Arabidopsis thaliana: one gene and its partner. The protein of the gene in region 1 interacts with the protein of each later gene in a biochemical or structural test. Each region holds a gene or a part of one and is shown on either strand. Other genes may lie near its edges.

Evidence for each region.
Region 2: the proteins of AT3G57800 (region 1) and LOB form a complex in vitro, tested with the Arabidopsis thaliana proteins (one study listed by BioGRID).

The regions. Positions count from the first base shown.
Region 1 is NC_003074.8:21,407,262-21,413,491, reverse strand, and holds AT3G57800 (basic helix-loop-helix (bHLH) DNA-binding superfamily protein), read left to right. Parts: upstream 1-1,879; 5' UTR 1,880-2,170; coding exon 2,171-2,716; intron 2,717-2,788; coding exon 2,789-2,902; intron 2,903-2,993; coding exon 2,994-3,059; intron 3,060-3,555; coding exon 3,556-3,651; intron 3,652-3,921; coding exon 3,922-3,966; intron 3,967-4,196; coding exon 4,197-4,265; intron 4,266-4,413; coding exon 4,414-4,485; intron 4,486-4,896; exon of another isoform or gene 4,897-5,091; intron 5,092-5,185; coding exon 5,186-5,458; 3' UTR 5,459-5,703; downstream 5,704-6,230.
Region 2 is NC_003076.8:25,307,814-25,313,025, forward strand, and holds LOB (Lateral organ boundaries (LOB) domain family protein), read right to left. Parts: upstream 3,207-5,212; 5' UTR 2,862-3,206; intron 2,117-2,861; exon of another isoform or gene 1,987-2,116; intron 1,490-1,986; 5' UTR 1,471-1,489; coding exon 910-1,470; 3' UTR 733-909; downstream 1-732. UniProt on the Arabidopsis thaliana protein: Not known; ectopic expression of LOB leads to alterations in the size and shape of leaves and floral organs and causes male and female sterility.

The DNA of each region.
Region 1 (6,230 bases):
ATATAGAAGAGAAAATAGAGATTTCTATTTTTACTCCAATAATTCTTCAAAAATAGAAATCTCTATTTGTTAGAAAGAAAAATAGGGGAAAAAAATAGAGATCCATATTTTTGTTTCTATATATAGAGAAAAAAATAGAGATCTCTATAATGGAAGTGAGAATAGAGATGAGTTGGAGTGTAATAAAAGCAAAAATAGAGTGTAGAGACAAAAATAGAGATGTGTTGGAGATGCCGTAAGTATTGTGAAGATAATCCTCACAGCTTTCTCAGCAATAAAAGAAAATATATCTCTTTAATTTTTTATAAAGGTTTTATGTGTGAATATTAAAAACTTTAGTCTCATATGAGTTCGAGACTGTGCTCGGGAACAAATTTTATAAAGATAAATCATCTAAAATTGAACTGCGTTTATAATGGCAAAGACTTTGCATAATTAGAATGTTTCTTATTGATAAAGACTTTGCATGTTTCATACTCATTTTGACATCTAATTGAATAAAAACAGAAAAGAGCCGTATAGCTTCAAAATCTTTATATTTAGAATAAAGTGTATATATGTGAAAGAGTAACACATATGTACGTAGGAATTAGGTTGGTTAAAGAATTGGCCACATCAATATCTGAGACACCAAAGAAGTAATGGACGTTGGGAGAGTAAGTAACGTTGCCAAATTGGAAATGCCAAAAAAAGATTGTACCTTTCCTCTCTTTGATTGAGACTTTACTACTACACCAAACCTTACATCACCAATCGCTGAAAGTGAAACCGATATTTTAGCACATTTATATTCCACTTCTACACCTTTTTACTAAATTTCAGTTTTGAGATTTACTTACATGAAGAAGAAATTGGCTAATCAAAATAATCAAGCAACGATGATTTGTTGCAATGAAATGGAAATTGGGATTTGGGCTCAGATTATTAGAGCATAAGTGGATTTCCTGTTCGGCCCATTGTGTGAAACAGGTTATTCCACTGGACCCATCTGTTCATCTTTGTCCTCAAATTTTCCTCTCTATCCCCAAAACACCCTTTTAAAGAAGTAACATTAATTGTTTTTTTTTTTCCTTTTAATAAATTTATAAGATATTTTGAATTAATATTATTAGTACGTCTCAATTTTTATTTTATTTTTGCCTTTTATACTCTAAAGTTTTTAATACTTGATGAATTTTGAATATTTTTAAAAAATAAAAAAAATAAAATATTTTTAAAAAATTAATATTACGCTTGGTAGATTTCATCCAACGGCTGAGATAATTACTAAAATGGTGTTTTGAGCTCAATTATTTTTCCATATTAAAAAGTGTTTTTGGTTCTTGGTTATTTACAGGTCAACAAAATAATTTGACACCGGAATCGGAGTCCGTGGAAAGTCAGAAAACCTGATGTAACACCATTTATGGCATTAACTACTGATAATAATACTATACGAAAATCCAATTATTATACCGAGAAAAAAAGAAAAGTGGTCAGAGACAGCAGGCTGGTCCTGCTGAAGAATAAATCTAATCTACCGATTCGATTAAATAAATATGTGCCGTTTTCTGGTACGCCCTATTCAAATCATTTTTATATTATAGTATCAAAATACTTCAAAAATTTACTAATTACAAAATTAAGGAGTGATAAAAAAAGTTTATAATCAGAGATAAAAAGTCACCGGTTAAAGCCCAAAAGGCCCAAGTAATATCCATTGGGATCCAGCAAAATATATAACAAAAGAACCGTACCGTACCTACAATAACCAAAATTGGTTTTCTCTTTCTTTTGTCTAACAGTGGCCTTTATTTAACAGACGCACTCCACTGCTAACGTTGCTTTCGTCCTACTCTTCTTCTGGTGTAAAAGCTTTTCTTCCACACACATTTGAGAAAGAAGACGAAGAAGAAGAGAGAATAACTATTCCTTCTTCGCCAAGTTCTCTGAGCTATAGAAGAAGGAGGGATTTCTTCAGACCGCCATTGTTGCCCACCTTCTCTCCTTTCTATTTTTCGCCGCATTTTACTCGCTTACTGACAAAAGTCTTCTACTCAAGTCTCTCTCTCGCTCTCTTTGGAGGCTCAATTAGGGTTTTGTTGTCGTGAGATTTGATTACACAAATTGCTGAATTTGGTTTCGATTATTGGTGTTATTGTTTTCGAAGATTTCCAGTGAGTTTCCGTTTATGGATCTGACTGGAGGATTTGGAGCTAGATCCGGCGGTGTTGGACCGTGCCGGGAACCAATAGGCCTTGAATCGCTACATCTCGGTGACGAATTTCGGCAACTAGTGACGACTTTACCTCCCGAGAACCCCGGCGGTTCGTTCACGGCTTTGCTTGAGCTTCCACCTACACAAGCAGTGGAGCTTCTCCATTTCACTGATTCTTCGTCTTCTCAACAAGCGGCAGTGACAGGGATCGGTGGAGAGATTCCTCCGCCGCTTCACTCTTTCGGTGGGACATTGGCTTTTCCTTCTAACTCAGTTCTCATGGAGCGAGCAGCTCGTTTCTCGGTGATTGCCACTGAGCAACAAAACGGAAATATCTCCGGGGAGACTCCGACGAGCTCTGTACCTTCCAATTCAAGTGCTAATCTCGACAGAGTCAAGACGGAGCCTGCTGAGACCGATTCATCTCAGCGGTTGATTTCTGATTCAGCGATTGAGAATCAAATCCCTTGCCCTAACCAGAACAATCGAAATGGGAAGAGGAAAGATTTCGAAAAGAAGGTTAGAGTGAGAGACAAATGTTTTTACTTTTTTACATTTGATCCTTCGTTTCATCAGATTGATTTTTTATAGGGTAAAAGCTCGACGAAGAAGAACAAAAGCTCTGAAGAGAACGAGAAGCTGCCATATGTTCACGTTAGAGCTCGTCGTGGTCAAGCAACCGATAGCCATAGCTTAGCAGAACGAGTAACTTGCATCTGCCTTCACTAATTTTTCTTTTTTTTGGTATTAATCAGTTGATTAATTCGCTAATTGATCACTAATTTTTGGATTATAGGCAAGAAGAGAGAAGATAAATGCACGAATGAAGCTGTTACAGGAACTGGTCCCAGGCTGTGATAAGGTTTGTCTCTTAGATATAGACGTGTAATCAATTTGTTAATCAATCATTAGGTCTTCATTTGTGATTAACGACATTATATTTCTCTAATTGATTCACTCCAAAAGTAAGAATTTATTATTAGATGATCTAGTCTTTTTGTTAAGGGTCTTAATCCTTCACACCTACTTTTTTTTTTCTTCCTAAAAAGTGGATTGCTTAATTGCTTTTTTATTAAGAAAAGTGGTTCCTGGTGTGCCAAAGTAGCCAGTTGGGTAATTGTGTAGTAATGCCTTTAGAGATCTCAACTTTATTTTTTTATTTCGTGTGGGGAGAAATATCTCACGGGTACACACTTAGCTTTAAGGTTAACTCAGTCACACGGAAGTGATAGGACCTTGCTTTATCGAATTCTTTTTCCATAAGTGTGTTCGTTGAGCTTGAAGATTAGTCTATAAATGACGAGAATGACCTTAGGAAGTGTGCTAGCTGTAATATGCCATTAAGGTTTTGGGTTTAGGGGACAGATTTTGGTGGAAAGATCAAGATCAAAGTGTGTTTTGGGGTCCATCTTTTGATGATAAGTGGGAAAAAAGTTGCAATCTTTCTATGGAAGGTGAGGAAGGGGTAGTATCGTCTCTAACAAGTTCGGTATCTATCAAGGAAAAATAGAAAATGACTCTTAGAAGGACGATTAAAGCAAATGATCCTTTACAAAAATTGATATGCTTTGAGTCCCACATACCTAATTAGTTGGAAACATGATGTGACACTCCCCCAGACAGCTAATTAATCATCCCTGATGTTAGAAGTTAGCAGCAATTATTGGTGTGATAGAGATGATGATATGGAACATCAGTGTTTGTTTAAAATTTGGATTCTATAGGTGAGCTGTGAGGACTTGATTGATTGTTCCTTTAGCCCCCCTAGGGTATACTGATTACTTGTGATTGTAGTAGATACCATTTATTATAATAGCTTTAGATTAGCACGTCATTCTCTTGCTGCTTTTTTCACTGTGTATTTTGGAATCTTGGTATTTTCTCGTTGAAATATTGGATCATCTTAACAATAGTTAGCTGTCTAGAAAGAATTTTTGGTATGTGAAAGCAGATCTACCTAATATGAATCCGAGCTTATCAGAAAGTCTTTGACCTGCAGATTCAAGGTACCGCGCTGGTGCTGGATGAAATCATTAACCATGTCCAGTCATTACAACGTCAAGTGGAGGTGAGACTTTCCGTGGTCCAATTTTTGTTCTTTATACCTATATTTTACAATAGCCCTGGGCACAATAAAAGGGTCAACTCAAAACAATTTGAAAATGAATAGAATTATGTGCCGCAATCTCATGAAACTGTGACTTGTGTTTCCACAGATGCTATCAATGAGACTTGCTGCGGTAAACCCCAGAATCGACTTCAATCTCGACACCATATTGGCTTCAGAAGTAAGTATCAAAATCTCAAACAATAATTTGGTCATTCTGATTAGTCTTCTCTAGGAAAAATTTAACCATTTCATGTGTTTCTCATTTAAGTTAACCATACCTCTTTGAGTAGCTTCTAGTTTCTATCACAAAAGGAGAAACTTTTGGGGTATTTATTGATACAAACATTAATTTAGACCATTTTAGTGTAAGGCATAGGAAGATCACAACGTCTACTCTCATGAAGGAAACTCAGGGAAAAATAAATACACAACACACACACACACCCAATGCAAATAACAGTAGTGGGTCAAAACTCGGACCACCTTTGTTCTGTAAAACCTTTCTGTGTCTTCTGTGACTTATGTCGGATGTGTTACTTGATGAACCTTTTAAAAAAAAAGTTAATTCATCCCTCAATAATTTCTGTGGGTCTCTTCCAAAATCTTGTTATTTCAAAGTGACCTATCTAATTTCATGATCACCTGTGGATTCTCATCAAAAGTTTTGGACCAAACTAAATAAATGCTCCCTCTCTCTTTCTTCTTACAGCTTGTACCACCATTAAATAGCCAGGGACCCTCTCATCAAACCTTGTTCTTTTAGGATAATAATAACACAGCAACAACAGTTGACTTCTTTGACTAGATCAAGATCTCTATGAATGATCCCTTTGCTGATATCTTTTCCGGTTTTGGCTCTGTGTTTTTTTCTTTGACAGAACGGTTCTTTAATGGATGGGAGCTTCAATGCCGCACCAATGCAGCTTGCTTGGCCTCAGCAAGCCATTGAGACCGAACAGTCCTTTCATCACCGGCAACTGCAACAACCACCAACACAACAATGGCCTTTTGACGGCTTGAACCAGCCGGTATGGGGAAGAGAAGAGGATCAAGCTCATGGCAATGATAACAGCAATTTGATGGCAGTTTCTGAAAATGTAATGGTGGCTTCTGCTAATTTGCACCCAAATCAGGTCAAAATGGAGCTGTAAGTTGGGAAAACGGTAGAGATCATGAATGTGTATATACATCGTATAAGCTCGTTTCTCTCTATATAAATATAATCATAAATATAGATATCTGTTAAGAAGGTATCAGTCATTTGATTCAGAGAGACAACACTGGTATGATTGTTTCTTATTCTTGTACCAGATTTCGACAATGTAGAATTTAGTAGGATATGATCATTTTGATCTCGTTATATATATCTTACTAATAATAAATAGAGATAAAAAAATTCTATTTAGGGAAATAAATCAGTATCGATAAACAAAAACAGAAAGAAGAAGCAGGGGCATCCTTTGGATATTGGAGTTGCACGAAAAAGAAGAAGCAAAAACAAAATGCAACTATATGTTTAGATTGTTTGAGCTGGACCAAGTGAAAATGCACCTCTTGAATTATGGTTTAGGTTAGGTAACAAAAAACCCTAAATTGACTCATTCGATAAGAACAGAGATGCAATCATAAATATGAGTGCAAAGCACGTTACCGGAAGCTGTGATGGCCTTGTTTGCGTCTACCGTATAGAAAGATTGATGTGTATCATCAATCCCGCCACTAGATGGTATCGATCTCTTCCTCAGCCTAAGATTCAACAAATTAACCGCCTTAGACGAAATCTACACGAGAGAAAGTTTCACTTTTTAATTCTTTTGCTTAATCAATTTGCTTAATCAATTTGCTCATATATGTTTACTTAAATTTTTGATGTTTTTGTAGTATTATTTCACTATTATTGTGCCTAATTAATTGTTTTTGTTT
Region 2 (5,212 bases), on another chromosome or scaffold:
AGGCTGCAAACACACCATAATAGGCAGAACTTTTATTTTAAAAAAGGAAAAGGAAACTTCATAATACACATGCCTAGCCGTCGCTCTACAAGTTCATTTTTACTCAACAAAATGGAAAACTAATAGTATGATAACTCCAAACAATCAATACAATTATATATTGTACACTTAAACAGATACAAACTATGTAGTTAAATAAGTTAAACTAATAATAAAGCAGAGACCTTCAATTATTAGCACCCTTAAGTTCTCTGAAACATGCATCCACGCAAACTACAATCCTAGTTTAGGTATTGAACCCAAGGCAATAACAATCATCACCATATTATATATCTAATCATAGGTATTTTTAAAATAATAAAATTCACCAATGCCACTATAGAAACATACCTTTTTCCGTTTCGTAATTAAATGAATATATCTTGCTTACCACAGAATACCATTTTATATTTCAACGTATATTGTAAATAAGATTTTAAATATTTAATGATATAGCATTAAATAAATAAATAAAATTTATACTAAAACTGATATTTTTGTTATTGATATTCATTCTAATTATTGAAATCATTAAAAATAACTAAAAATGAAACGGATAAAACTATATCATGTTTGGCACCTAACATTACAAAAACAATCAAGAAAATAATTATCTAGTAAAATATATTTGTTCAAGTATCATAGCTTAGTTATTGAAAAACATACACTAATAATAATCAAAAACCAAAATATATATACCTCATCAATCATCATAAATAAATAAGAACAGTCCATGCATTTATAATTCGCTAGGAAATAATATCCCACACACAGTCCATGCATTAAACAAATAATATCGTATTCGTACCACACACACATAAATATAGAAAGAGAGAGATGAGAGGATGAATACTCATAATTTATAAACTCTCACATGTTACCTCCTTGCTGATCATGACCATTGTTCCAAGGAAGAAAAGTCCCATACGACCCTCCGGTGCCACGTGGCATCTGATTCATCACCGGACTTGCCCCCGAAAGCCTATAAACCGGGTTCAAGGGAGGCAGTTGCTGCGACGGAAGCGGCTGAGGCTGAAAAACCAAGTCCACGACGTTGCCAGGTGCTCCGGCGGCTGATGTGGACAAACCATAATGTGCCAAGTCAGCATTAGCTGCGTCGAGCTCCTTCTGAAGCCTATGGACTTGTCTCTGGAGATAAGAGATGGCTCCGACGCAGCCATAGACGGGGTCACGGACACGTGCCTCGGCCTCATAGGCTAAGGAGTTGACTGCGTCTTCACGTTGGTGAGGGAGGAGCTCGTTGAGGAGCTTCGTGACGTTGCTTGCTCCAAAGATTTTGTGGACGTTGGCGAATTTGTGTGGCTCCTCCGGTGGAAAATATGGCGCGAATATGCATCCCGGCATGCATTTCCGGCGAAGAAACTTGCACGCCGCGCATGGTGAGTTGTATGAGTTTGATGACGACGCCATTTGTTTTTCTTCTTACAACCTAATATTGTGTTTTAAGAACAAAATACAATTAGAAAGAAAAGTTAAACACACACATATATAGTATGTTTATACATACGATCTACATATATATAATTTAAATTTGCCAGTAAATGATAAAACTCCTACGTTTCGTTTAGAAGTCATTTTTCTATAATTTCTATATTGCAACTTTTTCAAATTTTATATTGAATTTTTTTATTTCCTTCTTTCATTGAATTCCTAATTATCTTTCCATTGATTTTCCCTTTCCACGTTTTTCTTGATGTATATGTAAAATGTCCACCATCAAATCTAATGAAAGGAAAAACATACTATTTACAAAACCTAAATGTCTTTAGATTGAATATTAATTGAACACGTTAGGAACACAGAGATAATCCGGACGTGCTGGAACTATAACTTTAGTTTCACATAACGTTTTTTTTTTCAATTAATTTAGTCTACACTAGTTTTCAAGTAGACAAATATCACTTCACATATTTAATCCCCTATTACCTTCTTAATTTATCTCTACGAATATATTTAACTAACTTCTCCGAATCTTCCTTAACAGAGTATACACATACCCACACTCGCCTTTAATTCTAGCTAATATATGATGTCATACATGTCGATCAGTTATTCCCTGAACAAAACAAAACCAAAAAAAAAAAGCAATCTTATTTTTAAAATGTCAGATGAGTTTGTGTATCCCTCTGTATCTATATCAATCTTACATATAAATACTACATATTTTTGTTCAATGCATATCTACTTCATATTTTACCAAAATATATCAAACAGTTTTTCTTTGTAATTCAATTGTGTCCTGATGTGTTTTACCATCTTCTTCATCTTCCTCTCACTCTCTCTTCAACCCTAGCTTTGTTAAAAGAAACTATAACTTAAAAGGGAAACTCAGTGAGGATTTTATAATTTCTATTTGTATGCCTCAAAACTAAACTTGGTCAAAGAAATTTCAAAAATTGTCTTTACTAAGTAAGATAAACTCTCTCTTTTTCTCCGAGATGAAGCAATTCTACTGACCTCAAGTCTATACCAATTTGGATTTGTTTGTAAACTTTAGATCTGACCTTAATTATGTCAACTCAAAGAGATCACGAAGGTTTAATTACACGTGTTTACTTATATCCTTGTCTCATTTGCTATAATTAATTAGATAACCTTGTTAAGTCTTTATTATAGTAGAAATTCAAAAGGAAAGTGACAGAAGGATCAAAGTGAATATGTGTATGAGCAACATAGAACATAGAACATGGAGCATAGAAAATAAAATTAAACATAGATTAGAAGACTTGTTTTGATAATCGGGAGCTATGCATAAATCCAGGGATTTATTAAGATACATACATCAAAGTATATACATATACCTGCCTTTAGATCTTTAGGTTCTTTGAGGATCTTGTATCTTTCTTCCTCTTTCAAGGGCTTTTACCTTACCCTTTGAATTTCGCTTCCAAAGTAGATAGAGTAGGCTTAACTCTTTAGTCAATGAGAGGGATATATTAGGGTTTTAGCCCTCTCAAAGAAAGAGGAAACCCTAATGTCAAGAAGAATTGAGAAAGGTTTGTATAGAAGCTGAGAATTTAAAGAAACCAAACAAACAAATAAAAAGGAAAAAATAGAGAAATGTTTTAGTGGAGAGGAAGGAGAAAGAGCAAAAGACAAAGTGTAATAATAACAAATGAACAATTAATAAACAGGAAGAGGAGGAGAGGGTATGTCCCTTAAAGAATGACTATGACATTTCATCTCAAGAATATTAGTAATATCATTTCACTGTGCTTACTTTTGTCTCCCATTAGATTATTTTTTAAAACCTTAGCTTTTGTGAATTTTTCTTCATACATTTAATGTTAACAATATTCCCTAACAGTCCCGAAATCAACCCTAAGCTAACTAATCAATTATCATTGTGTGTATATAAATATCACTATATATGATCTCTCTATATATACCTGTCTCACGCTGATGGCCAAAATTTGGAACCTCAAGAAAACCCTAAGCATCTCTCTATATCAATCTCGACTTTAATTGAATATCATAACAAACCCTGATTTGCAATGAGAACTAAAGAACATATTATATGACTGTTTTTGGCAGAACAAACTATACAATTAATATATAGCGGTATAAATTTGGTGACTGGTAACTTGTTCTCTTGTTCATACCGTTGTGAAAAAAGCTTGACATCCTAAAATTAACAGCAATGAATTGAACCTTTTTTTCAGGTGTGGCAAAATAATTCTTCAATTTAATTTAATCGAACAACAGTTAATAGGAACAAGAATAAACTCTTGAGACCTCAAAGTAGCTACGTAGAGACAGGAAATCAGTAAAAGTCAAGCGATTTCATGTGAACGATCAAGTCAAGTTTAAATAGGTTTTGTAAAATCAGAACTTTTGTAATGGAAAATAAACTATGAGGGGGTCCGAAGATTTTTGAAGCTATAGCTAGCTAGGGTTAGTATCATACAACAGTTACTTGTGTTAGATTATATATTATTGGAAGTGACAACCGATTGAGACATTTTTCATAATGTCTTCTTCTTTTTATTTCGCACCAATTCTTGGTCTAATGTAGAATTCAAATGGTTCAATATTGAAGATATATTAGACTGGCAAAATTCAAATGCAAATGTAGATCATAAATAGTTACCTAATGGAAAAGTAAATGAGATAATTTTCTTATTACTATCAGAAAATTGTGGTAAATTAACCTTTTGAATATTTTCAAGATCATTATTTGTTGGTCTAAGTTATGATGGTGGTTAGTGGTGGGAACTTAGTAATTTACTAAAGTGAAGCATCTATAGGCTTTATCACCAAACTAATGTCTTCATATTTTTCTTAAGATATTAATTTTGTGACTAATATATATCGGGATTAGGGTTCGAAAATAGAGGTCCTATTCTTTTCTAAAAGAGGAAACTAGTCTCGTACTTGGAAAGTAGAGCTTCTCTCTCGTTATGATACAAAAATTGACTGATTATTCAAAGTTTTCAATGTTATTGATTGCGCATTCTGATATGATAGATAATAAGTAACTATATCGAATAAGTTGAAAGTTGTTTGGAGAGCTATGATATGGTTTATTCGTTCCGTCCGACGTTGTAAATTCAACACTAAGCCTACATATTACAGAAGAAACCATAACAAAGTTTACCATCAAAAGATTAAAGTAATCGATTAGAATGGGTATTGATCTATATATATAGCCCTTCAATATATATAGAGAGGTTGCATATAAAATGATACAAATAGAGAGGTGGGGGTATGAAGTGTTATAAAGGGTTTGCAGAGAGAAAGAGAGAGAGAGGGAATATGGGTCCTCCTCACACATATGATCTACTAAAACTAGACTAGTACCTAGTTTGTCCCTCGAATTTTATTTTTCTTCTTGTAATTTAATTAAGTCAGTGTGACTCTAAGAATCTATAGAAACCACATTTTATATATATGGTCTCATTTGAAACAACACACACATAAGAGATAATGTTGAATTAATGAATGTGCATGTGCTGATTATGGAAGGGTAAAGTTAGAGGTATATATGGGAGGTCAATGATGCAACTTGGAGGAATAGTTTTGTGAATATGTCCTTTTGTTTTCTTGTTTGTTTTTATATATGTAGAATCGAATAACAAAATAGACAACAATCATGAATATGAAACACATATAGCAAAGGAAAAATTAGGAGAGGTAGAATTTAAACTGAAAA